Linked DNA regions of Elephas maximus indicus. The protein of the gene in region 1 interacts with the protein of each later gene in a pairwise test. Links are inferred from orthologs where the notes say so. Each region holds a gene or a part of one and is shown on either strand. Other genes may lie near its edges.

Region 1 (9,341 bases):
AAGAGGTTGACTGCTCATGGGTGGTGCTAGGGTTAGGGTCTGGGAGAGATTAGTTCAAAGCAAGGAGATTCAAAGAGGAAATGAGCCTGTTTAGAGTGGCGAGGATAGTCAGAAGAGGTAGGTGACAACAACCACGAAATTTTTCCCTGGGAAGTAGACTTATATGTAAGAAATGAGTGTTGTGGTTCTGTTAAGGATACATTCCCAAAGCTTCTGCATAATTTAAAACATGCATAATTCAAGACTAATTTTCTTACGGGAATAAATGGAAAGCAGGAGTATATGTTCTCCAGAGCTCATAAGTTCTCTAACTATTGTAGCAAAGTTTTGCTTTAATACTGCTCTTTATTTATCATTATTACTACTAAAGGGTCCAGAGTTTTGGTTCCTAAATTCACAGCATGATATATCAAGGCAGTTGTTTTAAGTTCTTGATAATGTTTTATCACGTCTAACTTGTATTCCAGAATTATTGATTTTGGGGCATATTTCCCCAGCACTAGCATCATCATTTAATGAATGCCTGAATGACATTGTTCTAGGGCCATTTAAAAAAAAAAAATCACAACAGCAAAAATAACATAGCAACACAATAAGTAAAATCACTGACGGAAGTGCCTTAGTTTGAAACAACCTAGTTCAGGGCACTGACAAAAGATTAGAAGAATTTCTGTTTCATTAGTTAGTGCTGCCAAGTAGCAAGAGCATATATATAGTTCATAACTCATAAGTCTGAAGTCATTATTTTACTATTTTTTAAAAATCTGGGCAATATATTATTTCACATTTTGCCTACAACATGTAATATTTTTATATAACACTATTTCTAACTCTGTAGCCAACTATACTACATAAATGTGGCCTCTTGGGTAAGAGAGAGGAAGATAAAGACAGATGAAAGAGAAATTATTTTGAACTGATACATCTCTTATTCCTGTGTTTTTGGGGGAAAGTCATCTCAGGAACTGCTCCTAAAGCCATTCTCTTTCTCCTGTGTCATTTCTGTGTCCTCCTCTACTGAATCATTCACATGAATAATGTCAGTAGTGTGCCCGTAAGTGTTTAACATTTGGCTCTCTTGGAAAAAAAAAGCCCTAAATTGCAGCAGTTGCTTATTTCCGTGGTGTAAATACTCCTACCCTGTCCAATCTCAAGGAACCAACGTGATATCAGCAAACACAGAGTTTAGAAGAGATGTGCACAGCTGGCTCTCAGAAGTTGGCATGAACCAGCTCCAACACACCACTGAAAGTGTTTTCAAACGTCTAGTCATGACCCATTAGTGGGTCTTGAAGACATTTTAGTGCGTTGTAAGCAGCATTTTAAAAAATGAAAAGTAGAGTGCTTTATGCATAATAAGTACTATTTTGTGAAATTTTTGTTTCAGTAATTTTAAGCATGCATGTAACAAATCACAACAGTAAATGTAGTTCTTATTGTGGAGCACTTGGGAAAAAGTCTGAAAGCTACAGCTGTAGCATCTGCTCTCTTTAAAACCAAAACAAAGATACACACACACACAAAACACAAGAAAAACAAATTCTTCCCTTTGCCCCGCTGCCTCCTCAGCTATGACGCTGTTGCTCTGTTCCTCTGCACAGCAAACTTCTTGAAATATATATAACTATCTCCACAACTTCCTCACCTCACAGTTTTCAACACACTTCAGAGTCAGAATCACCAATGATCTTCCTGTTGCTAAATTCCCTGATACGCCTGTGTTCCTTGATCTCTCAGGAGCATTTGACACAACTGGCTGCTCCTTCTTTTTCAAACACTTTCTGTGGCTTCTATGACCCCACTCTTAGGGGTTTTTCATCCTGCCTCCATGGGTGCCCCTTGTCAGTCTCTTCATTGGCTCTCTCCTTGATTTATCTCCCCAGGACTCCATCCTATGTCCTCTTCTCTCCATCTATCTACTCTCCTAGGTGACCTCAGCACATCTCATGACTTCATATCATTTTCCCCTCAGCTTCAGCCATACTGGTGGCCTGTCTGTTCCCCGAACACAGTAGATATATTCTCAAGAATCTTAGGGACTTCACATTAGCTGTTATCTCAGCCTGGAAGATCTTCATATGACCACCTCCTTTCTTTTGTTTACTAGCAGCTTAAACACCACCTCCTCAGAGAGGTTTTCCCTGGCACCCAACTGAAGTAGCCACCCAGGTGCTCCCTATTACATCGTTCTCTTTTAATCTTCTCCAAAACAAATCACTATTGGATGTGTGTTTGTTATGTCTCCCCTGCTGGAATGTAAGCTCCATTGAAGCAAGAAGAGTCAAAACTCCCCACCCTCATGGAGCTTACAGTCTGGTGGATGAAGACAAATCAAAAAGGTGAATTATATAGGATGTTAGAATATAACAAGTGCCACAGAGAAAAATAAGGTAAGGAAAATAGGGAATGAGTGTTTTGGGGGAGAGGGGTGTTTACAATTTTAAATACGGTGATCAGGAACGGCCTCGCTGAGGATTGATATTTCATGAAGACCTGCAGGAGGCAAAGGAAACATAAAATGCAAAGGTGCTGAGGTGGGAGTATGGCAGGCATGTTCTAAGAATAGCAAGGAGGCAGGTGTGGTTGCAGAATAAGACAGGAAGAAAACACTAGGAATGAAGTCACAGTGTGCAAGGGTGATGCTCAGAACATGAAGAAGTACTCTTGGAAGGATTGGATCTCTTCTTCAAGGATGAGCAAAAGCCAGTGAATATGTGTTGTCATGATCTCTCTGGCTGCTCTGTTGAGAACAGATGACAAAGGGGGAGGGGCAAAAGCAGAGACTAATTAGGAGGCTATTGCACTTGTTCAAGTAAGAGATATGAGACTTCCATATCTTTCTCTTCTCTCCATTTAGAAGAGACCCACAGAGCAAGTACTACAAAGCCCTTTGCATACTTGTATAATCACTCTGCTTTGTCACAGTGAGCATTCAGTACATATTTGTTGATTTTAAATGATATAAAAAAACACACTGGGCTCATTGAACAAAGCAGTGATCAATGAGGGGTATTTCTAGGAACAAATTCTCAGGATTCCTGGAAATTTTAATCCAGAATTATTTTGTGAACACTGAGCTTTTGGCCCTTTTACTCAATCCCATTTGCAACTAATTACCACTTACCAAAGAAATAAAGCGTTGATTTCAATTTACTTTGACTTCGTAAAAGTATTAGACCCAGGCAAAATAGTGAAGATTTAATCGCTCCTCACTTTATCAATAAATATTCAGTTAAATCATATGAAAGTACCATTTTTGAAGAACAAAAAGCTTGAATATCAACAGTTTTGTAGTTCAATCTGGAAACCCTGGTGGCGTAGTGGTTAAGTGCTACGGTTGCTAACCAAGAGGTTGGCAGTTCAAATCTGCCAGGCGCTCCTTGGAAACTCTGTGGGGCAGTTCTACTCTGTCCTATAGGGTTGCCATGAGTCGGAATCCACTCAACAGCATTGGGTTTGGTTTTCTTTGGTTATAGTCCAATCTAATATTCACAGTGTCTACTTCACGCAAAGCATTACACTAGTCATTGAGGAATGTGTAAGACAAGTTCCTTTTCTCCACTTACACTAGAGTTGGACAGATAAAATATGCACAGAAAGATAAATTCAAGGCAGTGTATGTCAAATGTTAAACACAGTTATTTAAGTTGGATCTTGAAAAGTCAATCAAACTTGGAAAATGGAAACAAAGGGGAGAGAAAAATAGTTGTGACTTAGAACTTGAATTTGCTAGTGCGGGATTTGTACTGAATTCCTAAATTAAAAAAAAAAAAAAAGCAAGAGAGAAGAAAGTGCATGGGTGCCACCAAAACATGTCTTTCAAAACGAATGTGGATAAAAGTAGATACAAGTAGGAAGATGAGGACTTTGTGGTCCCTGATAGAAAACTGAAAGCTGCCAACCAACTCTTCAAAGTATAAAGTCATTAAAAGTAGCCTACATAACTTTATTTGTATTCCTGATGTTTTTACAGCCCAACAGGTTCATCAGTCATGTGGGCCCTACTGAGAAATAATTTTGGTCAGGTATTTATTGAGGTAGGAGGCCCAGTGGTGCAATGGTTAAGCGACTGGCTGCTAAGTGAAAGTTCTGAGTGGAGCAAACGGCCTCCACTTGACTACTAACCTACAGATTCGTGGTTCAAACTCACCCAGTGACGCTGCGTAAGCCAGACCTGGCAATTTGTTTCCTAAAGATTTCTGCCTAGAAAACACCATGGAGCAGTTCTACTCTGTAGCACATGGGGTCGCCATGAGTCAGAACAGAGTTTGGTTTGATATACATACTTGGAATTGGGCTCTATACGGCTTACATTGTTCCACAGGGAAGTGTACGACTTATTTAAAAAAGAACAGCACACAAAGTAATTGGCAAATAATCCACAGTGGCTGGAAGTACAATAAAGATAACCATCTAGGTGGGGGCTTTGGGCTTGACACACAGGCTGGCTGCACTCAACCTATTTCTTCACCATGTGCCCTACATCCAAGGGTGTGTACCCGGAAAGAGAGGCGCGCCTCCACAGCGAGTTATCTTTTATGGCACTGCCTAGGCTCTGATCCAACGCTTGTGAGGAAGCAATCTTTAAAAAACACCTGACACTGACCCCGTCGCCCTGGCGACCTCGGAAGGCCAGAGAGGAGGACACGTGGGGGCCCCTCTCTGCTGTCGCTGGTCAAGGCCAATGCCGTGCGACCTGGGCACCAGCCCTGAGCGGCCCCGGCCCTAAGCGCCCCCTTCCTAGGCTCGGCGTCTGGAAACAGCAGGGTGGGCGGGAACGAACTTCCCTTGCGACGACAGCGCCGGGGCAGTCAGGTCTGCCCGGGAATTTTCTCCGCACACACGTTTATCCTCATCCGTCTTGTTGGTCCCGCAGCGAGCCGGCCCCGGTCCAAGTCCCCGGCGGCTGCGCAGAAGGCAGGGTGCCGGTCAGCAGCCCCGGCTGGCGTTCCCGGAGGCCAGCGCCGGCCACGCGGACGCCCGTGCACGCAGACGCCAGGCCGACGGCGGCGCCCCGGCGCGGGAACGGGAAGTGGAGGCGGACTGATCCCTTTCACTTCCCGTAGGCGCCCGGCACGCCGGGAGCGATCGGAACCTGGACGACGCCCGCGGCCAGACCAGCCCCGCTCCCCTCTGCGGGAGCGCCTAGGACGCGGGTCCCGGGGTGAGTCGGCGGCGGCTGGGCCCCTCGGGCGGCAGCAGTCGCCACAGACGGGACCGCTCGGGCTGGACGTGCCAGCCTGGGAGGGGACGCGGACGTCGCTCTTCCTACATCAGTTTGGTGGGTGCGACAGTGTCAGGTCTCCCGGTCTCCCCGGTCCTCTCGGGGCCGAGTCGGGCATGGGTCGCCGGGGGAGGGGGCTGCCTCTGCGAGCGAGGCGCTCCTGGGGTTGAGAAGTGCCTGGGAGTCGTCCGTTTGCCGTCCCGGACAGTCCTGCCTGGCACCGGGCTGTTGGCATCGGTGGCGCGCCTCGCGGCCACCCTACTTCTTCCCACTCGTGCTTTCTGCTCACCTCTTCCCAGGATTGTTTTCTCCCAGCCCGAAAGCAACGGGCCACCTCCCCACGGAGACATCGGGAAGTTTTCATCCCGGTATTTTTAATGACAGTTCCTTTAAAATGTAATGACAGACCTACATTGTTTTCCCTGACTTTAAACACACACTTCAAGATGCCGAGTCATTTTGCTGCAATAACAAACAACGAAACGGGAACTCGTTTGAATTCCTTCCATCATCGGTAAAGCATAAATGATGGCTTTCTTATGAAGTGAACAGAAATGTAAATAGCGGCAGGACCCGTTGATCGGGGAGTGATTGGTTTAATGCAAATTTTAGGGTTTTTTTTTTATGAGTCGGAACAACTCGACGGCAGGGGGTTTGAGTTTTTTTGTTTGCTTTGATGGCTTAAATTGCTCTGGTCACTACTTGAAGTATCGATTTGGCTATAATAAGGCAACTCTGTATTCATTCCGTTTGCTCTTGTTTGTGCTTTCTGAATTTTACAGAGCAGAACGGTTTGAGGTTTTGACTGACATTTTAAGTTAACGACACAGATTGGGGTCCATTAGGTGGGAAACCAAGACGGATGCAGTTTTCTTCTTTACAGAGACAGAGCAATAGATTTGGCCAGTAGGACAGATTGTACAGTATAATGGCAGACTTCTTGGAAGTAGAATGTAGAAAACCTTAGTTTTATTTCCTCTTTAGGTCTGCTTAAAGTCCTCAAGTCTCCCCTGGAGCTATAAAATGTAGTACCAGTGGATGTTATCTTTAAAAATGCCTTATGTTCCCTCTTCTCCTCTTCCCACCCTTTTCTTTAGCAACAGCCAAAAAATGTATCTTAGTAGCATTCAAGGGATTGGGATTTTTTTTTTTTTTTACCTTGACTTGAATAATTTGGTGGAGGGAGAATAATTCTTTCTATTAATAATAATAATAGCTAACGCTTGTATAGCATTTACTATTCCACTGTTTTACAAACTCATTTAATCCTCAAAACAAATCTGTGAGGAGAATACTATTATTATTCCCATTTCACAGACCAGAAAAGAGAAGTTAAATGAATACCTCTGATAATGGTATATGACTGTTTGGTTAGTATTTGCTATTGTTTTCATTTGAGTCCCTGGTTGATGCGAATGGTTAAGTACTGGGCTACTAACTGAAAGGTTGCCATTTTAACCCACCCAGGGCCATCTTGGAAAAAAATCACCCTGCCTGGTGATCTGCATCTGAAAGGTCACACTTCATGAAAACCCTGTGGAGGGCAGTTGTTCTACTCTGACACACATGGGGTTGCCCTGAGCCAGAATCGATAAATGGAAAGGAAAAAAAAAAAAAAGGAATTAGTTTAGTATTTTTTTACAATACATTCCATGTTAGAAATTTTCTATTGATTTATTTTTAAATCAGTATTTGCTCCACTCATATTCCAAGATTATTTAGTATGTAAGTACACCAGATAAGAATTGGGGTAAGATCTTTGATTTTAATAGTGTCTTGTTATATGGTAAATATCAGTAACATAACTTACAATTTAAATTAAAAAAGCAATTATGAAGAAAAATTATGCATGCTTATTTTTCTTTCTCTCTATTTTGATATTACCCAGGGAAAGTACCTCAATCTGGGAAGCCTTAAATGAAACTTATTTAAAATCACAGATCATATACCAAAGAGAGACCCCAGTCAACAATAAGGTGGAAAAGAATGATGTCCTTAAACAGTCTGCAAAATGTCATCTATAAGCCGGTAACTGACTTTCATAAAATCACTTTTTACCTGTGGCAGGCATGAGAGCAAATCGAATTGAATAGTAATTATCCGTAGTGGGCACGAGGGGCAAGGATAAAACTCAGTAAACATGTATGAAGTGCCTACTATGCAATAGGGACTATGGTGGGTGCTGAGTAAAAAATGGATGTGGCTCTTGTGCTAGTCTAATGGAGGAAAAGGACACAATTACAGTAAAAGGCGATGGGCCTCATGAACAGAGTGTGTGGGAGTACAGTGGCGGAGAGGCCAACCTTGGAAAGGGAGTGGGAGTGGGAAAGAAGAGGTTCAGATTACCTTCAGATAACCGTAAAACAATTTCCAAAGGAAGGTGATTTCTTTCTTTACAGAGTTGTCATTTTTCTTCTTAATTAGAACTTACCATTAGATGTTAATATGTCAGCTTTTCCATTGCCATTCACTGCTTGGTATTTGACCAGGCAGTGTCAAAAGCTAGAAGTGGGATGGAGAATGAGAAGAACTGGGGTCTCGTCAAGGTCTCAGGCTGCTCCAAGAACTCTTCAGTGACTGTAGTTGCTGGATATTTCAGTGTGTGCCCTGGGCAGTAAATAACTTGTTTTATGTGGTGATGAGAATCTTTAGAAACGTCTAGTTTCTATTATCTGATGCTAAGTCCTGAGTAGAGTTCTGAGATAAGGCAGCTGCTTTTTTGGGAAAACCCCATAGAGACTCCTGGGCAACAGGAATGGTTAGAACCCTTGAAGTAAGGCCCTAAACCAGTCTTGTGAGTAGGGTAAGGGCCAGGGGGTTAATCTTTTTTGTTTCTTACTTTGTAGCTCTAATTCTTTTTTCCCTAAATGTTAATGTCATTGTACAAGGGTAAGGTTCAAGCATTGTAACAGGCAAAATCAATGTTAAAAGAAATCCTCTTCAATGGTAATAAGTTAAAAAAGGAAGACTTAATGAATTTGAAGTCAGTGAGACAGTTAAAATGGATTTAATGCATCTTAGAGTTAAAAACATCTCAAGGTTGTAGACTGAATTTCTTCAAATATTTAAATTCAAAAAAAGAAAGAGGGCTGCCTGTCAGGAGGGTGAATGTATGGTAGAATTACGCTGGTCAGTTCTGCCCTTCATGTACAAAGACACCTTATTTGAATATTATTTAGAAAACGATTTTATGTATTAAAATCCCTGTATCTTGGTACTAGCATACTGCTGGTTCTTGTAATTTCTGCAGTTAGCCCCCTAACTGTAGAGTTGAAACAAAAATGAACAGACTTTCATTTCCTGATGAAGGAGGTCTGGAGAAGTAGTATGGCTTTAGAGCAGTAGATAACAGGGCTTCCAACCGGTTCATTCCAGTTTGAACCCCTGCTGAGAATTTGCATTTCTAACAAGTTCCTGGGAAGTTCTACATAAAAATCACCTGAAGATCTTGTAAAAATGTAGATTATGATTCAGTATATCTGCGGTAAAAATGCAGCATCTCAGCAGGGAACTTGTTAGGAATGTAAATTATCAGCAGGAGTTCGAATCCAGCGAACCAGTTTGAAGCCCTGGTGGATACATTTAGGCTCCAAATGGACTCCTTGCTGTTCATGATAACAAGTTGGGTTTTTTTTGCCCCTAAATTTTATTTATTGTTGTTGTTGAGAATATACACAGCAAAACACACACCAGTTCAATCATTTCCATATGTACAATTTAATGATATTAATTATATTATTCAAGTTCTGCAACCGTTCTCACCCTCTTTTTCTGAGTTGTTCCTCCCCCATTAACATAAACTTACTGCCTGCTAAGGTTCCTATTTAATCTTTCAAGTTGCCTTATCACTTTGATCCCAGTAGATCTTAAAAGAGCATAATGCTCAAGGCAGGCCTTTACTAGTCGAGCTAAACTATTACTTGGTTTTAAGATGACATCAGGGGATATTTTTGGTTTAGGGTTTAAAAATTATTTCAGGGCAGTAGCCTCAGGGGTTCATCTACCCTCCATGGCTCCAGAAAGTCTAGAGTCCAGGAGAATTTGAAATTCTGTTCTGCCTTTTCCCCCTCATGATAACAAGTTTCTAAAGTAAATATTTTTGGCAGATAGCATTTTT
Region 2 (10,268 bases), on another chromosome or scaffold:
TAAACTTTTGCAGGCTATTTCTTAATATCATAATTTATAGTTTCTCTCTTCAATACTGCCAGAAACTCCCCAAGAGGGTCAACTGTAACTTAAAAATTTTTGTTTAATATTTCCAGACACAACTTTTAAGTGGTAAAATACATGATGACTACAGAAGCTGCGACATATGTTTGTTACAGGAAATTGCACTTAATCTGCAAGATAGAAAGTCAAGAGAGTTTAGGGTATTGGAAATAATGTAAATGAAATGATAATCCACAGACTCTATGCTGGATGATGAGGGAAGTATCAAAAGGAGAAACCTTAATGGATTAGACACCCTGATGAGTTTGAAAAATATCTATAGTTAGCATAGTTGAATAAGCAAATTAGTTGAATAGGAGGTGTTGTCTAAGAGCAGGATGCTTCATTTTGAAGATGGAGCAGTTATGGGTGATAACAAGGTCTAATCTATGACCTTATGTATTAGTTCCCTAGACCTACTTTAGCAAAATACCACAAACAGTTCTGGAGGCTGCAAGTCTGAAATCAAGGTACCAGCAGGGCCATATTCCCTCTGAAGGTTCTAGGGAAGAATCCTTCCTTGCCTCTTTCTGGCTTCTTGTGTCTTTGGCAAGCCTTTGCATTCCTTAGCTTGGAAGTGTATTGCTCCAATCTTTCTCTCTGGTTGCACATGGCTTTCTTCTCTATGTGTTTCTGCATCTATGTCTGAATCTCTCTCTCCTTTTTCTTATAAAGACACCAGTCATTGGATTTAGGATGCACCCTAATCCAGTATGACCTCATCTTAACTAATTACACCTTTAAAGACCCTGTTTTCAAATAAGGTCACATTCTGAGGTTCTAGGTGGACATGAATTTTTGGAGGACACAATTCATCCCAGGCCATCATGGAAATAGGTGTCTGGAGTAGAGGGGAGGAGATGAGGGATTGAAGACATTAAAAGGCCAAGGTGAAGGAAATTAGGGAAACAATTCCATCTACAATAGTGTCTAAGAGAATAAAATACCTAGGAATAAATCTAAACAGGGATGTGAAGAACTTATATAATTAAAACTATAAAACACTGCTGAAAGAGATAAAAGAAAATTTAAATAAATGGAAAGATCTTCCATGTTCATGGATCGGAAGACTTAATGTTGTTAAGATTTCAATACTACCCAAAGCAATCTATAGATTCAATGCAATCCTGATCAAAATTCCAGCAGCCTTCTTTACAGAAATGGAAAAATCAATTCTCAACTTTATATGGAATGGCAAGAGGCCTGAAGAGTCAAAGTAAAGTTGAAAGAGAAGAACAAAGCAGGAGGACTCACACTTCTTGATTTTAAAAGCTATAGTAATCAAAACAGCCTGGTACTGGTATAACATTAGACATACAGACCAATGGAATAGAACTGAGAGCCCAGAAACAAACACACACATCCATGGTCAACTGACTTTTGACAAGGGTGCTGGGAAAATTGGATTTCCGCATGCAGAAAAATGAAACAGGATCCATGCCTCGTGCCATACACAAAAACAAATTCAAAATGGATTAAGGAACTAAATGTGCCAACTAAAACCATATAATTCTTAGAAGAACCAGCAGGGCAATGCTGTCAGGCCTAGCTTTTAACAATGGATTATCTAATACAATAACAAAAGCACAAACAGCAAAAGACAAAATAAATGGGACGTCATAAAAACTAAAAACTTTTGTTCATCAAAAGCCTTTACCAAAAAAGTAAAAAGACAACCTACCAACTGTGAGAATATCTTTGGAAATCATACCTCCAACAAGAACCTAACAACCAAAATACAAATAAAACTTCCACAACTTAACAACAAAAAGACAAACAAGCCAATCATCAAGTGGGCAAAGGACCTGAACAGACATCTCACCAAAGAGGGCATTAAAATGGCCACCAAACACATGAAAAGATGCTCAATGTCATTAGCCATCAGAGAGAAGCAAATCAAAACCACAGTGAGATACCACTTCACTCCTATGGCTTAAGATTAAAAGACAAATACAAAAACAAACAGAAAACAACAAATGTTGGTGAGGATGTGGGGAAATTGGAACCCTTACCCATTGCTGGTGGGAATGCAAAATGGTACAGCCGTTGTGGAAAGTAGTATGGCAGTTTCTCTAAAAGTACAACAACTATATGATCCAGCAATTCCACTCCTAGGTATATAGCCAAAAGACTTGAAAGCAGGGACTCAAACAGGGACTTGTACACCAATGTTCATTGCAGCACTATTCATAATAGCCAAAAGGTGGGCACATTCTAAATGCCCAGCAACAGCTGAATGGATAAACAAAATGGGGTACTGTACATACATACACTGGAATACTACTCAGCCAGTAGGAGAAATGAAGTCTTGATACACACTACAATATGAATGGAGCTGGAAGACAATATGCTGAGTGAAATAAGTCAATCAAAAAAGAGCAAATATTTTATGACCTCAGTTACATAAAATGACAAGAAAACACAAATATATAGAGAACAAAGTTTATTAGTGGTTACCAGGGTCCGGAGAGGGGGAGAAGAGGGTGTTAACAGTGATGGAAATACAGAGTTAAGGGTAGAGTTGCACAGCCATTACCGTAATTGCTGTCAATAAGTTGTACACCTGTAAAAAGTTGCATTGTCAAAAGTTGTGTAAGATATTTACAACAAGGATAAAAAATAGAGTAGCTGCTGAGGTGGAGTATGTACAACAAAACACCTCATGGGATTTGGTTTCTTGGTTTGGAGGTTTAGGGTCATGGTTTCATGGGACACCCCAGTTAATTGGTCTAATAACATGTTTACTGCCTCTATTCTACCTCCTAGTTTGTTTCATAGTGCCCAGGGTCTTAAAAGCTTGCTAGAAGCCATTCAAGGTGCAACAACTGGTCTCTATTCTCCTGGAACAACAGGGGAAGAGGAGGAGTCAGCAACAGTAGGAGGGTATGGAATGTGAGGCTAATAGCCTCCATGAACAACTGTCTCCTTTGCCATGAGACCAGAAGAACTGGATGGTGCCTAGTTACCATTACCTAACATTTTGATCAAAACGGGGAAAACACAAAACAGAATTTCGATTCTGATGGACTCCAGACTTCCTGGAGCCATGAAGGTTGGATGAACCCCTGAAACTATTGCTCTGAGGTAATCTTTAAGCCATAAACCAAAAACATTCCCTCAAGTCTTCTTACAACCCTACAACAGTTTAGCTTAATTAGTAAAAAATGCCTGCCTTGGGCATTATGCTCTTTTAAGAACTATGTATATGGGATCAATTTGACAACAGCAACTTGAAAGATGAGATAGGAACCTTAGGGGACAGTGAATTTATGTTAAAAGGGGAGAAACAACTCAGAAAAGGAAAGTGAGAATGGTTCCTCAACTTGAAGAATGTAATCAGTGTCACTAAATGGTACATGTAGAAACTGTTGAATCGGTGTATGTTTTGTTGTGTATATTCTCAACAACAAAAACAAAATAAATATATTAAAAAAAATAAGCCAAGATGTTGGAACTCTCATCCACGTAGACACTGAAGGGCTTAGAATGGAAACCAAGTCTGGGGAATAGGTGATAATATTCAGTGAAAGAGGAAGAGTGACTTGGAGATCAGCAAACAACAAGGAGGAGAGAGGGTGGCGTAGCTGAGTGATGTGCACCTCAAAGGAGCAAAGTTTTTTTTTATAAATATGTGGGAGAATAATAGTCAGGAAGCAATAAGGAGGAAGGAGTACATCAATGCCATCTCCTAACACATCGGGTATGAGAAAATAAACCACCTTATTGTAGAGTGTTCTGAGTCCTCTCTTTTCTTTCACTAGCCAAAGCCCACCATTATTCAAATCCCATCTTTAACAGCTCTATTTCCTAAACAAAGTTATGTTGTTGTGGTTAGTTGCCCTCCAGTCCGTTCTGACTCATGCGTGCAGAGTGGAACCGCCCTATAGGGTTTTCAAGACTATGACCTTTCAGAAGCAGGTTGCCAGGACTGTCTTCTGCAGTACCTCTGGGTGGGTTCAAATCACCAATTTTTTGGCTAGTAGTCAAAAGAAAACCTTAATACAAACACTAAGGAAAACCAGTGTTCTAAAGGGTGAGACAACTCATTTTGCCTGGTTTTTAAAACCTGCAATGACATTTCTTTATCACGCCTATTTGAACTTGGTTCTAATTTTCAACCCATGCTGAACTACAGTATTGTCCCATTTAAACAAACAAACAAAAAAACCAAACCCGGTGCCATCGAGTCAATTCCGACTCATAGTGACCCTACAGGACAGAGTAGAACTGCCCCACAAGGTTTCCAAGGAGCGCCTGGTGGATTTGAACTGCCGACCTTTTGGTTAGCAGTCATAGCTCTAAACCACTATGCCACCGGGGTTTTTATAGTATAGTTTTTATAGGCTATTATAGTAAGGGAACATATATAATAGTCAAAAGTGATAAATGAAATTGCAATTCAACAGAAAACGAAGGGCAACATTCGCACCCGCAAAGTAACAACCCCAACCTTAAAATAATACAGGTAACAATTCACAGAAATGCGATTGTGAAGAAACCAGTTCTGGAGTGAGACCAAATAGAATCACAGAACATTATTAGAACAGAAGAGCTTCTCAGAGAAACTGAGGATTTACAGTGATCGTAGTTAAAAAGGGACAAGACTGACTAGGAGTTAGGAGAGAGCGTTGGATTTTAGAAGTTGTAGCCCTATCCTTGTGGTCGCTCCCTTCGCTTCTGCTGTGTGCAGCTAGTCCATTCCAACTCATACAAAATCCAAATCCATTGCGGCGGAGTCAATTCCTACTCATAGTCAATCCTATGCGACAGAGCAGAACTGCCCATAGGGTTTATGAGGCTGTAAATCTTTACGGGAGCAGATGGCCAGGTCTTTTTTCTCCTGTGGAGCGGCTGGTGGGTTGGAACCACTGACCTTTCGGTTAGCAGTCAAGCGCTTAACCACTGCGCCACCAGGGCTCCTTCCTTTGGTTCTATTTCCTTATCTATAAGATGAGTGGATTAGTTTAGACAGATTTTTAAGATCCAGGCAGTGGCATGGTAATTGTCCATGTGCTACTTCGCTACCTTTTTTTTTTTTTTTTTAACTTTTATTGAGCTTCAAGTGAACGTTTACAAATCAAGTCAGACTGTCACATATAAGTTTATATACACCTTACTCCGTACTCCCACTTGCTCTCCCCCTAATGAGTCAGTCCTTCCAGTCTCTCCTTTCGTGACAATTCTGCCAGCTTCCAACTCTCTCTATCCTCCCATCACTTCGCTACCTTTTATCGCACTGGTTAAGTTACTTAACTTTTCCGTGTGTTTCCCCATTTTGTAGGTCAAAATAACAATTAAAAAAAAAAAAAACAAATCCAAACGAACAGGGCCTGTTTTGCTGGAACTAGGTGTCTGAGTGAAAATTGCCAGGTAGAAAGAAAGGGGAAAAAGCAGCGGGCCGGAGAAATGCGCGCAGTTACCTGGGCCGCAGGCTTTGAATCGCCTACTTTGGGGCAGGTGGGGAGTCGCGGAGCCCCAAGCGGCGGCGGCGGCGGAAGGGACAGCCCTATGGGCGGAAGTGACGCGACGCTGGCTCCCGGCCCTGAGGGGAGGTCTCGGAAGGAGTTCGGCAGTTGATGGCGTCTCGGGATCGGAAGCCTTTCTGACGCTCCCCCGTTGGCCGGGAGCCCCTCACTGGGTAAGGCGCCTTCCCAGGTCTGCTCCAGCGCCCTTGGCGGGGCGGGCCCCAGTGGGAGCTCTTCTTGGGGACCGTGATACGTCCCTCAGTCCCCGGAGTCTAGGGCCCTGGCCGGTCCGGGGAATATTCTCCGTGGTGACGATGCTGGCAAATGACTATGCTTTTCTTCCCGAGGAGAAACCATTCCTGCCGGACTGCTATTGTGACGGGAAGTGGAGCAGTTTCGGTTAGCTGTGGAGCTGGAAAAGCCATAAGTGGCCGCTCCACACGGAACAGGCCTTAGAGATTTTGCGGAGGCGTGTGGGACGTGGACCCTTGGGCGGGGGGCGAGCGACGCGTGTGACTCAGCCCGGAGGAGGAAAAAAAATCTTGTCAGAACGCTAGGGTGACTGTTGTGAGGGCAGCGTGTGCGCTCCTGGCGACGGCAAGCTGGGGAAGACATCTAGGTGGAGCCCGGAAAGGAGGCTCGGCCTCGCCTCTGCGGAGGAAAAGCGAGCTGTTTGGGTCGAGTCGCCGGGTGGGTGAGGAGGCGGAGACTCCTTGCGCCGCCCACATTTTAGGGCCGCCGGCGGAGTTAGCCGCTCAGGTACGACCTTGTTTATTTACCTGGGCTGCAGAATCAAGAAACTGATTTTTGTGAGGTGTTTAGAAATAGCCCCTCCCCTTAGTACTCACAGGGATTTTTTAATTTTTTTAATTTTCCGAGAAGAGTCACGTTTTTCTTGGCTTAGTCAAAAGTTTCTTGATTTCACCCCTCCTTCCTCCGCCTCCCCCCGCAGGTAGTGAACGTGTCCAGACAGGAGCTCTTGCAGTCTCTCTCAGGAGTTTCCCTGGCCTAGGATTAGAGCTTACAGAGCTTATCTGGGGGTGGGGTGGAGGAGGGGTGGGGGAGTGGACTGGAGGTAGGGGGGCGGTGGTGTTGGCGGCGTTTTGTGTCACTTTATTGGTAAATAAAGTATTACACCTTGCGGTTGTAAAAGAGGGCTCATTGCCTTCAAAGTGGTTTTTCGGTATAAAGAGCTGAGGCCAGACTTTATCGTTCTGTTCTTGGGGTGGATTTGATTCCTTGAAGGATTTTTTTTTTTTTACTCTAGAAATGACTTACTTTTTTTTTTTTTTGGCAATGTGATCGTCAGACTTCAAAGAACATTCTGTTGTAGTTTTAATTTTCTAGTCATCACATTCTTACACTGTTTACAACTATGGCTGCCGCAATTTGTGTAGAATTGGGGTTGCTATGAGTCGGAATTACGCGAGGCAGCGGGTTTAGGTTTTTTTGTTGTCGTTTAGAGGTCTGTAAACCAGTTGATAGTCTTTGAGCTAAAGCATGAATAATCAGAAACTTTCAAAACGTCAAAAAATTTTTTTTATCCTTCAGATGTTTGTATGCCCCATAAGGACTGAATTTGGAGGTAATTTTAAGAGTTCATAATTTTGTTGTTGTTGTTAGTTGCCATCTGGTCGATTCTGACACATGACGACCCCGTGTATGTAGAGAAATGCTCAATAGATTTTCAAGGGTGTGACTTTTTGAAGCAGATCGCCAGGCCTGTCTTCCCAGGTGCCTCTGGATGGGTTCAAACCACCAACCTTTTGGCTAGTAGTCCCATTGCTTAGCTATTTGTGCCACCCAAGGACTCCAAGGGTTCGTATTTTTTTTAATCCAAGATTTTTTAAACTTACACTAACTTTGTTGGTGGTTATCTGAATTACGACACTCAGAGCACACAAAACATTCGTGGTCTAGAATGCACTGTTTCTATGGTAGTACATCATACATGGAGTTTTTAGTACTAATCTGCTTTATTTATTTGCTTTTAGTAACGCTTGTAGAGATGGTAAAATGAAGCAATATTTTGCTAATCTTGGTTTATTATCTTTGTTCTCTTCTAACACAGTTATTTATCCCACTGTAATTTTTAAAGCAAATTTAAGACATCAGTATTTCACTTATAATTAGTTTAGCATTTCTGATACTTTAAAAAACACCACCATAATCACATTATTACCCTTAACAAAGTTACCTTATTTCCTTCTGAATTCTGTTAGAGCTGGTAGATTATTATCTAAATTAAAAAGCTTAGTTCAGTTCTGTATGTTTTCTCCACAGAAGTACTCAGTGGGTCTTTTTTCTACTTCAGTTGACTAAGGTTCATATTTTTGGATTAGTCAAGTAAAATGAATACCAGGAGCCATTGAAAGATACCGCAAAAGCCAGATTTATTTGAGGCTTGAAAAAGTTGCAAGAGGAGGGAGTAAAGATAACCTTGAAATGCCTTTTTTTTACCCCCCCCCAGAGAGTCCTTGGGTAGCCCAAATTTATTGTAGCTAAATTTTTTTTTTTAGATACTTAACCCAGTGCCCACTGGATGTTATTTATCTTTTCTTTAGCCACTGATGAATTCCCAAAATAACAAAATTGGATATTAGACCAAAAACTTTATATGTAGTCTACAGTATAACACACATAAAGGAATTCTAGTGGTATTAGGACTTTAAGGAATATAGTTGAAAACCTGGAAGAGATGAGGTACTGCAGCCAGCATGTGTATGCATTTCAGAATTTGTTTCCTAGTCAAATGTATCTGTCTCTTTAATTCTTGGCAGGAAAATTTTTACTTATCCTTGGCTTAATATACCCATGTTTCTAGAGATGTACTTTAGAGGGTGGAAAGCAAAATTTGTTATGGTAAAGCTGCTTCCATTTCCCTTTGTGTGTAGGGCTGTGTTTCCTTTCCAACTGAGGCAGTTTGTAGTTTTTTTCTCAGCTACACTTCCCAATCATTACCACAAGGTGATGCAGTGACTTTGCACATTACTTTTTCACCGGGCCCTGTGTTTGTGTGCGTGCCTGTAGGTAGTGTTTAAATCTGCGTGTGAATTTTCTTGATATCTTGGCATTCTCAGTGTATTTCAACTTTTTTATAAGCTTTCCCATCTCTTCACTCCTTATCTGTGGGAAGAGTGAATCAGAGGAACTGTGGGGGATTAGACTTTTTATTTCACTATTTAAAATGGGTAATTATATTCAGATTGCATTCATCTATGTTAACATTTTTATGACTAGAAGCTATCTTGGAACTTAATGAAAAGAAAAAACCAAAGTAATGAGAGTGGAAAAACTTTTGTAAAATACATAATTATGGTCTCATTGAACTTTATAAAAAGATTGGATTGCTGAAGGGGGATTGTTGTTACATGCTGTTAAGTTGGTTCCTACTCATAGTTACCTGTGTACAACAGAACGAAACACTGCCTGGCCCTGTAAAAAAAATGCCATCCTCAAAATCGTTGTTATGCTTGAGCCCATTGTTGCAGCCACTGTGTCAGTCCATCTCGCAGAGGGTCTTTTATTTTTCTGCTGACCCAGTGCTTTACCAAGCATGATATCTACCTCCAGGAACTGATGGCTCCTGATAACAGATCCACAGTATGAGAGACATAGTCTCTCATCCTTGCTTCTATGGAGCATTGTGGCTGTACTTCTAAGATAGTACTAATAGAAGTTGGTTCAACTGATTTAGCTACAATATCATTGGTATCTTGTAACTAATAATGAACATTTTTTAAAAAGAACTGGAGTGCATGGCTTTTTTTTCTTCCTTGTTAAACCACTGACTTGAAAGGAGATTATCATTAATGACTTCCTAAGTATCGTGACATCTCCTTGAGCCCAGATTAGCAGAGACAACTCAAAGAAACAAAACTCTTCAGTTATTTCAAGCACAGTTCCTCATTTCTTTGCCAAGTGTTGTTGCTTTCCTGAAGGCTTCAGGTTACCAGGTGGGGAGGATTAACAATTAAGCTCTTCTGTGAAATAGGGTTATTGATAATAAAGCCCCTTTGTTAGTGGGCAGAGGTTAAGGAGTATTGCATCCTGGCAAACCTCAGTGGGGAGAGGCTAACAGAGACAACTGGCCTCGTGTTGTACCACATTGACTTCCAGGTTCACTATTTTGACAGTTTATTTATGGAATGTCCAGTATATTGTTGCAGTAAAGCAGTACTTTGACCATAATGGAAGCATCGAGGAGACAGAGGAGAAACAGGAAACAAGAGAAGCGGTTATTTTCTAAAGTGTTGTTTCAAAACTTAAAAAATTTGGCTGAGTATTTCAAACAAGTCAGCAAAAGAAATAGTTGTAAAAGCAAACTGTCTTAGCTCTTTAGCAATGAAGCTTTCATAATGATTGCTAAAATATGAGTAGTCTTACTGCTGTAGTTGCCCTGTAGAAATTTCATTGATTAGTGAAGTAAATTAGATGAATTTGGTTAGCAAAAATCCTGCTGCAGTTTTCTCCATTATTACAGAGATTCTTATTTTGATGACTCAGAGGCAGGTACCATAGGGTTAGTGTCAGAGTTTGTATACTGTCGAATCAGTGATTATGCTGAGTGTGTGACATAGTCTGTAGATTACTTTTATGAGCAAATTCCCAGTTTCCTTTCTCTGAAAAGCAAAGCAGAAAATGCAGAAAACATTTGGGTCTTGCAGTTTTTTTATAATCCAGTGTCACCATTCATCTGCTACCCAGTGTTTGGTGTTCACTAAGGCGGTTGAGCATTCA
Region 3 (9,923 bases), on another chromosome or scaffold:
AGCGGTCCACAGTTCTTGACAAAATCCTTTTTTCTTTCCTTCCTTCCTTCTTCCCTCCCTCTCTTCTCTTTCAAGCATCTACAATCTGGCAAACCCTGGCCCCGGGACTCAAAACGGGTGAGACGTGGCAGGCAGGCCCTTGGTCGAGGACAGGATGCTTTCTAACAGCAGCTGCCTATGGGAAGCATCTGCTGGACAAGTGAGACCTCCAGCCCCGGGGGGCTTTGATTGTCTTTCTGGAGACCTTCCTCTCCTCAGGGCCCTCTCTGGAAACCCTGCCACCACCTGGTTGTCCTGCCAACCTTCCCACAGCCGCCTTTCTGCAGCCTGGCCAGCCAGGCTTCCAATGAGTTATACACAGAGTTTGGGCGCACACTGCCTGTTTCTGACAGACACTGCCCTCCCTCCACGACGCCAGAAGTTTTTCCACAGCCTTGGAGAGGGGCTTTGACTGAGGGCTGGGGGCCCTGGGCTCCGTTTCCTTCACATTCCAGCTGGCCCGGATCCCTCTGTGGCCACAGGGCACTGCTCCCTCACCCTGCCCTCTGGGTGACTGTGGGGGCAGACAGACCTCCATGTGGCCAGTGTGGGGTTGGGAGAACTTTACAAACATTAGGACCTAACACTGTCTCATTGCTGAAATAAGAGGCCATAGCACCGAAAAGCAGTGTGGGCGCTGGCTGAGGCTTTTCCTAGCCCATGGGTGGCAGTGTGCCACCATCTCAAAGCCATCCCCCCACCCCCAGCCATTGTGAGCATCCCGGCGGCACCATCATTGTCTTGACCAGCGGGCTCCTCGTCAGTACCCTGGGGATTTCTTTTGATTTCGAGAACAGCCTTAATCATTCCAGCTTGATTTACATGTATACCTCATAAACATTTTTCTTTTGTTTTTCTTTCTCCTCTTTCTTTATCTCTCTTTGCTCACCCCCTTGCCCCTCTCCTCCACCTCCACCTTGTGACTGATGGTTTGGTTTCCTCTCTGCTCTGCCCCTGCTAAGCACAGGGAGATACTGAGTTAGAAGCAATAGTGGGCAGCAGGCCACCAAGAGCACAACCCCAGGGCGAGGTCTAGGGAGGCCCCTTAGCCCGCCTCTGTTTACTGTGCAATTCTAGTCCTTCTTAAGCCATCACCAGTGGGCATGCTCAGAGCAGAGGGGCCAGGGCTTCTGCCAGCCAAGGGAAGGGCCCGGAGCCCTGTGTGCGGAAGCGTGGTGCCGTCCATCTACCTGGTGGGCTGGGCGAATTCCTCCCAAGGGCCCTTTCCCAGGGGGACTCCCTTCATCTTGGGGACAGCCACAAGTCTCTAATGTTCTATGCAATGAAATATAAACCCTCAAAGACAACTGTTAATATTTAATAAATTCCATGTTATGTATAAGGATTTAATTGCAAACATGCAATTGAGAAACTGGATGGATACGCTCATATCACTCCCCAGCCCCCACCCTGACTCCCACCGTGTGTGTGAAGTTCTCAGTCTGTGGCATGTTTGACCTGTGGCAGGACTTGCTGCTGCCAGGTGAGTCACCGCCTGTCCCACAGTGGAGCATGCACAGCTTGCAGCCTCTTTGCACGATTTCATCCATTTTAAATGCTTGACCCTCTTGCTTGGAGTTCTTTTTGCCTCAGAACTTTTCCTTCAGGAGTTATTCTAGCTAACTTCTGCACGAGCTAGTGAGGACCTGCTGGAATTGCTGCCTGAGCTTGCCAAGCTGTGAAGCAGGCAGTTCGAGGCCTCATACACCCCTGCAGGTCTCTCTGACCAAGAAGGGCAGGTGAGAAGGAATCTCTGGAGTTGGCACCCCAGCAGGAGCCCGCACAGGATGCATGTGTGTGAGTGTTCTAAAAGCGTGCTGTAGGATTTCTATCTGTATCTGGTTGCTCCTCCTGCCCCAGCCCTGAGCCAGGGGCATCTGGTTGTACCTTCACAGTGGGGCAGAGCTGGGCTGCATCTGCGGACAGAGGGGTGGCAGCCATGGGCAGGGCCTAGCTGTGTCCTAGGAACCCAGTTCCCGATTGCACCTGCACCGTGCCAATGCCCCTGAGGTTGGGAGGCTCAAAAATCTTTGAGCCAGGAGATCTGGGCTGGGGTCAAGGGGCCAAAGGGTGTTCAGGAAAAGCCGGGCCTTTGGTGATTGTTTCGAGGACAGCTGACAGTGTCATCTGGGACCAGAGCAGGTGAGCTGTTCACATACACAATGGCTTCAAGCTGAATTTCCTGGGAAGCATCTCAATGACAAAACTCACAGAAGGTCCTGTGTGACCCTCTCTGTATCAGTCCCTAGGACCTATCATCCCTGCCTACCCTATCTCTGAAGCTGTAGTGTTCCACTGCTTGTTAGATTCTCTGACACTGAGCCAGGAGTGCAGCAGGCAGTAGCTGCCTGACTCCTTGCAGCCTGGCCTTCCTCCAGAGTGCTCTGGTTTGCACCATGCATTTCTCAGGGGTCCATATTTCTCATGCTTTCCTATAAGGTCTACATGCCCCCTCAGAAAGGGATCCTGGCCTACTTCTGGCAGCTGTAGGTGGGTCCCAAGGCTGCCAACCTTGGTGGTGGACTGAGACCCTGGCCTCATGGGATTGGGCCTCATTCAACCATGGGGCGTTAGGCCTGGACCATCTGAAGCCAGCTGAGCAAGGGCTGAGGGGGACCACCATCGAGCATCTCTGAACACCCAAGTTCAGGTCTGTGTGGGGACATGCCTAGTGGGCTGGATACTTGGAGGACCAAGGCAGTAGCCCTTTATTTTAAAGGCCAGGGGATAAGATCAGGAGCAGGGAACAGCAGGCGAGATGGCAGCAGAGCAGCCTCCAGCATGCCAGGTCTCAGGCTCTGAAGTGTTGAGTTCTCAGCAAATTTCCTTCCTGGCCAAGCCCTCTGAGTTTGAAATTTCTGACATCTGTCACACTCCCACTCTCACCCTCCACTCTACTCACAGGACACGTTATTGCCCCTTTGTGAGGGTGGCTAGAGCAGGCCTCTGGGCCACGGGTATTCTGGCCCTTGTGTGGATACAGCTGTGGCTCCAGGGCCACTGCAGCCAGAGGCTGAGGGACCAGCATTTGGTGCCTGGGGCAGTGGGGAACAACAGGTGTATCTCCAAACGGGCAGGGGGTCTCTGGGATGTGGGCCAGGCTTTTGCCATACCCTCCCCAGCATCACAAGCAAGGGCATTTCTTCTGCCCACATCCAGGCCCAAGGTACTCACTTTACAGCCAGCCCCTGCCTCCAGCCCTTGGGCAAAGTGTGCGGTCTCAGCGCCACTATGAGAGGGCAGCAGAGGCAGCAACTATGGCCTATCTTCTGAAGCCTGTGGGGGATTTTTCCAGGTCTTTGCCATGGCAATACAGTCCTGCCCTGCTGGCCCCTCCCCTGCTCCCTTACCCACTGCCCCCTCATGCTGTAAATACTCATCAGCATAGACTTTGTCAGGGTCAGAGGGATAGGCTTAATCCACTGAAACTCCCTGGAGATGCCATCTCTGTCTCCCTGGGTACCAGCAGCCCTGCTGCCATGTGCACTGGGGTGGCATTGGAGAGCCATGGAAGTCATGAGACATTGTGTGTGCACGTGAACATGTGTGTGAGTGTGTGTGTGTGTGTGTGTGTGTGTGTCTGCCTCCTTTAGCCTCTGGGATCAAACCAGCTCCTTCTCTCCAAGTGCAGTGCCCGGAGAGTAGTGGCAGCCCAATGCCTTTCCCCTGCTAGCTTCCATGTCTTGTTTTTGCTTCCCCCTCCTTCCTCCCTGCCTCCCTTTCTTTCCTTCTCTCCTTTATTTGAGGGGGGAAGAGTGCTGTACAAAGTCAAACAAACAAGTTTACAGTTGTAAGTGCAATGACCCGAGTCCTTCACATGACCTTGTGAATTGTGTGCCGTCCTCCTGTGCTCTGTGAGAACTCGTGGTACTTCAGTGTCCCTCCCCCTGTATCGTGACATGGTAATTCTGTGGTATCAGAATAAAAGGACTTGATATAAACAACCTGCAGACTGTCTCCAGGGTGGTTTCTGAAATGGAAAGGCTTACTATTCTTAAGTGAGGGGGCTTTGAGACTGAGGAGAAAGTCCCCAAATTTGTGATAGTCCTGTCTGTTCAAGGCTAAAAGGAAAAGAGTGAAGGGCAAAGTTGCAGAAGTACCAGCTGCGTCCATACCAAACTGTCCAGACAGTGTGCCTCCATGAAGGCACCCAAGGAAGGTCCCAAGCTTGGACCTGCACAAGTCATTGCAGAACAATGCCTCCATTGCCTGTAGGTATCCAGGCTATTTCACACTGCTTCACAGGGCCAGGGCTTAGAGAGGCAGGTGAGTAGGTGCTGCCCCCTGGTGCTGCCAACAAGCTCTACACCTGTCTTCCCTCCAGTTCTGGCTCTGCCCACTCCAACCCTCAGACTCTAAGTCCAGACCTAAGTCCATCCCCAGACAGACGGGCGTACCTCCTTACCAGAGTTGCTAAAAAAATTTTTAAGTGCACACAAGCAAAAAGAATACCAGCCTCACCTCAGGCCCACCCCCCTCAGCTCATATTTTAATTCCTGTCCTTCCTTTCCTGTTTGTATTCCTATTTCATTTTTAAGAAGCAGCAGGAAGGTGCAGCCCCCATTTGTTTCTAGATGCTTATTCCAGGTACTTTACATGTTCATCCTTAAATCCCCAGACTCCAGAGAGATGCACAGTGAGCTTATAGGCAGTCCACTGCATACACTCTGAGGGACAGGCACCATGTTCCCGGTTTTCCTATTCTGAACAGAACTGTGATGAACATCCCAGTTTCCAACCTTTCCGCCCAGGTTGGTGGCCCAGGCCACTTTTTCTGCTCCCAGGTCCTGGTCTTTTGGGGACACAGCCCTGCCCACTTTGGGTGCTTATAAATGCAAGTGACCTCAGAAAGTGGGGACTGTTTTTACTTAGCCAATCCAATGTGGTTGATGAGGAAGGGGAAACCGAAGGCCAGGCGAGTGAGAGCTCAGTCAAAGGCAAGGTGTGGCACAGGTAATGCAGAGGCGTGGAAGGCCAGCCAGGCTTCGAGGAGATGGAGAGTACATTCCTGCTAGCCTGACTGCTGCCTGGCCTCTGCTGGGGCTTTTCCCAGACCTCCACTGTCCCAGTAGCCCACTCAATCCTGCACCATGTTCAGGACTTCTTGGCCTTCCCAGGCTCTTCTTTCCACAGTAAGCTCCCTGGTTCTTGATGCCGTTTGTCCTTACGAGGTCCTATGTATCCAAGAGCCTGGACTGAGGCCTGGGGAGGCAGGCAAAGCTCCACTCGCTCACCATCCCAGCGAGGCACCACTGAGAGGGGCAGGTGAGGGCTGCGGGAACAGATAGCTCTTGGGGCAGGCCTGGTGGCCGATAAACCCAGGCGACATCGGGAAAACTTGGCAACCGCCCCTCTTTCCCTTGCACCCTGGGCTCTGCTCTTCGAGCCCCGCCCAGAGCTGACGAGCGCCCTCCTCTCCCCGTCTGCCTGGGAGCCGCGCCCAGAAAATGCTTGCCAGACCCAGGAGCCGCGGGAGACCCATCCTGGGGCGGGCCTTGGCCCGCCCCGCCCCGTGGCCCCGCCCCTCCACCAATCGGTGTCGTTGATGGCCTTCCTCACAGCCCGCAGTTCCCGCCCCACCCCGTCCCCGGCCCCGCCCCTCACCCTGAAGCGTTCTTCGATGGCTGCCCTCACAGACCTCAGCTTCTGCCCCTCATGCTCAAAGATTCATTGGTCCGCATTCCTTTGCACCCAGCCCTTTGGCTGCGCAGAGTCACTGCCGGTCCGACCTCGCTTCTTTCGCCTCACAGCCTTGTCCTAAGGGCTCAGCGCCTGCTCGCGTAGGCCCTCTCACGTAGGCCCTTTCACTCTTCACAGATCTGTCCCTTCCTGGCCCGCCCCCATGTTCTCCTTCCTCAGGGCCAACCCCTCTCCTCGGAAGTCCCACACACTCCCCTCCCAGTAACAGGCCTGGGACCCGGCCCACAAATCCCGCCTCTCACCAGCCTGATCCTCCCCTAAAAGGGCCCGCTTCTTTCCTCGCTGTCCCCGCCCGCTCCCCTCCAGCTCTCCTGACTCACCCCGCTTCCTTAGCATAAAGGCCTCGCCCCTCGGTCAACGGTCCACGCCCTTTGGCTGAAGGCCCCGCCCTCCCAGGTCGCCGCCGAGGTCTGTGGCGGAAACTGGCTGCGCCCCAGGCTCCGCCCCTCTAAGTCGCACTTCCGGGTGCCTGCGCTCCCCGCCTGTCCCGGGCGGCCAAGTAGCAATTATGGAGCGGCAGGTGAGGGCTCGGCCCGCGGTCCCCGTGGTCCCCGCAGCCCGGACCGGGCCTGACCCTGGTGTGTCCCCTGCGCAGGTGCTGCTGAACGAGCCCGAAGAGGCGGCGGCGCTGTACCGGGGCCTTAGCCGCCAGCCCGCGCTGAGCGCCGCCTGCCTGGGCCCGGAGGTCACCACGCAGTACGGGGGCCTCTACCGGACGGTGCACACTGGTGTGTGTGTGGAGGGGAATCAGGGTGGCGGGCCCACTCCAGCACCGTGCACTGGGTTGGAGAGAACGGGAATGTGGAGGGCTGGCTACCTGAAGGTGTACACGGATGTCGGAGGAAGGTGGGGTTTGGGGGGGTGTGGGGATGGAGGAGTGTAGAAATAGGAAGGTATTACTGGTCTGTGTACACAGGTGTATGGGGAGTGTGTACTGAGCCGATATTAGATGGGGCCCATGAATGCATGGGGTGAGGCCACTAGAGTGTGCACAAGGGTTGTGGAGTAGAACTCTGACCTGGGTGTAGGGTGTGGGCCTTGTAGGGCCCTCCACCCTCCCATACACATGGGGCATGGGTGCACCTGGAGCCTCCATCTGGGGCAGCCAGGCTACCCTCAGGATCCAGGGTGGGTTCTGGGGGCAGTAGAGGGTTCTCTCCAAGAGAGGCCTGCACCCAGGGTATGTGGAGACAGATGAGGGGATGTGGAGCTGGGCTTTCCTGGGTGAGGGGCTGTGGAAGGGACTGTCCAGGTTGGGCAGCGTCAGGCCTCCCCTTGCAGAATGGACCCAGAGGGACCTTGAACGTATGGAGAACATCCGATTCTGCCGTCAGTATCTGGTGTTCCACGACGGGGACTCAGTGGTGTTTGCAGGGCCTGCAGGCAGCAGCGTGGAGACCCGGGGGGAGTAAGTGCAAGGGAGGAAGCTTGTGGACAAGGCCACAGCCATCTGCAAGCCTTTTGTGAATGCCCACCATGTGCCCCAGTACAGGCAAGGTGTTGAAGAGAGGCCAGGAGCCAGGTTCATGCCCCTGGGGAGTTCATTTGGCCTCTGGTGACATGGCCTGATAAGCACTGGAGGCTTGCTCCAAACCCCTAGCTGGTCTAGAGCCTACGGGTGTGGGAGAGGCCGGAGTGGGTAGAGCCCCTGCCCCAGGGAGGAGAGGCAAGGCCAGCTGCCATGGTGGGGCTGGGCCAGGGGGCGGGGGGGTTGTGTGCAGGGGCTGGTGTGAGGCCAAAGCTTCAAGAATCTTGTCTAAGAGCTTGTGGCTAGTGAGGGGCCTGGGCAGGGCTGTTGGTGGGTGGGAGACAATCCCAACCTGATGCCCCATGTTCTCAGACTGCTGAGCAGAGAATCTCCATCAGGTGCCATGAAAGCTGTGCTGCGTAAGGCTGGAGGCACAAGCCCTGGGGAAGAGAAGCAGTTCCTGGAAGTGAGTCTGCATGGTGCCAGGGGGCGGGCGGCTGGGGGCTCAGCCCCACAGATAAGGCTCTGTTGGAGGTGGGGCAGCCTGACGCCCAAATATTCTCAGGTCTGGGAGAAGAACCGGAAGCTTAAGAGCTTCAACTTGTCAGCACTGGAGAAACATGGGCCCGTGTACGAGGATGGTGAGGCATCTGGTTGGTGAGCAGGCCAGGTAGGCAGGAGGGGCAGCCAGAGCCCTGGGCTCCCCCTGATTGGCCCTTCGTACACCCAGACTGCTTTGGCTGCCTGTCCTGGTCGCACTCGGAGACACACTTATTGTATGTGGCAGAGAAGAAGCGCCCCAAGACTGAGTCCTTCTTTCAGAGCAAAGCCTTGGACGTCAGTGCCAGTGATGATGAAATGGCTAGGCTGAAGAAGCCAGACCAGGCCATCAAGGTGCTCATGGCCGTGGCCAGTCCCTGCAGGCCCTGCAGTGCAGCCCCGGGGCTCAGTGTGCTCCCTGCCCAAACCACCTGTCAGAACAGGGGATGCACTGGCTTCTGCAGGCAGGGCAGGGCCTTGCAGACAGGCCTGGCCACTAAGTATCTCGTATTCTCAGGGGGATCAGTTTGTGTTTTATGAAGACTGGGGAGAAAACATGGTTTCCAAAAGCACCCCTGTGCTCTGTGTGCTGGATGTTGAGAGTGGCAACATCTCTGTGCTTGAGGGGGTTCCTGAAAATGTGTCCCCTGGACAGGTCAGTGCCAACTTGGTCCACGTCACTCCTGGAGCCTGGGGGCCCTACCTGAGCTACTCCCCCTTGCTCACACCTGTCCTGTGGTCTTGTTTACAGGCATTCTGGGCTCCTGGAGACACAGGTGTAGTGTTCGTGGGCTGGTGGCATGAGCCCTTCCGACTGGGTGTCCGCTTCTGCACCAATCGCAGGTGAGAAAGTGGGGCAGGGCAGGGGGCCCTGCAGCCCAGGCTGGTCTTGAAGCTGAGTATCTCTCTGGCGGTTCCAGGTCAGCCTTGTACTATGTGGACCTCGCTGAGGGGAAGTGTGGTAAGTGAGTGGTGCCCGCGTGTGCTTTCCTGACGCACTCTGGCCTTGCCAGCCCATCGATACTGTTTCCATCTGGCCCAGAACTCCTCTCGGATGACTCCCTGGCTGTCTCTTCTCCCCGGCTGAGCCCAGACCAGTGTCGCATTGTCTACCTTAAGTACCCATCTCTGGTCCCCCATCATCAGTGTAGCCAGCTGTGCCTGGTAAGCTGGAGTTTGGGGTCGGGGGTGGGCATTGGACAGCAAGAGGAGAGGATGGAGGATGAGAGCTGAAGGGCCAGCATCATCTCCACATGGGCCCCACTGGATGCCCTCCTGTCCTGGTGCATGTCGATGTGAGTTCCGCCTGCGCTCTCCGGGTAGGGGCTAGGGGCTGAGAGCATTGGCATGGGGAATTTGCACCATCAGGGCTCACCACCTCGAGACCATCTTCTGTTTGTAGAAATGCCCCTCCCATTGATTTCTCATCTGCACATGACCAGGCTGTGTGCAAGGGGTTGGGATATAGTGGGGAGTTACTGACACACGGGAGTTGCAATAATCAGCTCAATGGCAGTGGCTGGTATAGAGTCCCAGTCCCCTGCCCAAGAAAAGCTCCAGGTCCCTGGTGAAAGTCAGAGGTATCTGCCTAGCTGAGCCCCTCTGGGCATCTTGTCCAGGTCACCAGAACGGAGGTGCATCAGATTCGGTTCACTCAAGTATCAGGTCCTCCCCTTCTTCCCCTGAGACTACCAGAGATGGGGACTGATGGCAGAGCTCTGTGCCCTGAGGGCAGTACCCATCCTCTGGTGTCCCTGACCATTGTACTCTCTCGCAGTATGACTGGTACACCAAGGTCACTTCGGTGGTGGTGGACATCGTGCCTCGGCAGCTGGGAGGTAAGGGGTACGTGGTTGGATGGGGGCAGTGGAGCCCGTGGCTCTGTATTTCCCTCCCATCTGTTTCTTCCCTGTTCCGGGCCAGTGCCCCAGCTGTTCCATCCTGGGATCTTTCCGAGGTTCCTCCCTCCCTTTTGGGCCAACTCCATGTCCAGCCTCCACAGGGAGTGGGGTCATCACCACAGGGAACAGTTCCTATGGAAGGGAGTTGGCTGGACCAAAGCTGAGATCAGAGGGATCCAAGCTGCTGGAGATTTGGATGATTTCATTCCTGTGCTGGAACTCATGTTAGATTTTTCTGGTTTTTCCAGTGGTTGGTTAAAGCCATGGCCCATTTA

What was found.
Region 2: the proteins of LGALS8 (region 1) and TAX1BP1 interact in binary tests that used the Homo sapiens proteins (3 or more experiments, as listed by UniProt). The link is inferred for Elephas maximus indicus from reciprocal best matches to the Homo sapiens genes LGALS8 and TAX1BP1.
Region 3: the proteins of LGALS8 (region 1) and APEH interact in binary tests that used the Homo sapiens proteins (3 or more experiments, as listed by UniProt). The two-hybrid records come from large-scale screens. The link is inferred for Elephas maximus indicus from reciprocal best matches to the Homo sapiens genes LGALS8 and APEH.

What each region holds. Positions count from the first base shown.
Region 1 is NC_064842.1:27,838,515-27,847,855, reverse strand, and holds the start of LGALS8 (galectin-8), read left to right. Parts: upstream 1-4,796; 5' UTR 4,797-5,164; exon of another isoform or gene 5,165-5,281; intron 5,282-7,112; 5' UTR 7,113-7,210; coding exon 7,211-7,252; intron 7,253-9,341.
Region 2 is NC_064826.1:88,873,307-88,883,574, forward strand, and holds the start of TAX1BP1 (tax1-binding protein 1), read left to right. Parts: upstream 1-5,594; 5' UTR 5,595-5,701; intron 5,702-10,268.
Region 3 is NC_064838.1:54,089,891-54,099,813, forward strand, and holds the start of APEH (acylamino-acid-releasing enzyme), read left to right. Parts: upstream 1-6,155; 5' UTR 6,156-6,247; coding exon 6,248-6,259; intron 6,260-6,334; coding exon 6,335-6,467; intron 6,468-6,475; exon of another isoform or gene 6,476-6,572; coding exon of another isoform or gene 6,573-6,585; intron 6,586-7,020; coding exon 7,021-7,147; intron 7,148-7,579; coding exon 7,580-7,673; intron 7,674-7,772; coding exon 7,773-7,848; intron 7,849-7,937; coding exon 7,938-8,101; intron 8,102-8,264; coding exon 8,265-8,402; intron 8,403-8,498; coding exon 8,499-8,590; intron 8,591-8,667; coding exon 8,668-8,708; intron 8,709-8,789; coding exon 8,790-8,911; intron 8,912-9,524; coding exon 9,525-9,585; intron 9,586-9,923. UniProt on the Homo sapiens protein: This enzyme catalyzes the hydrolysis of the N-terminal peptide bond of an N-acetylated peptide to generate an N-acetylated amino acid and a peptide with a free N-terminus. It preferentially cleaves off Ac-Ala, Ac-Met and Ac-Ser.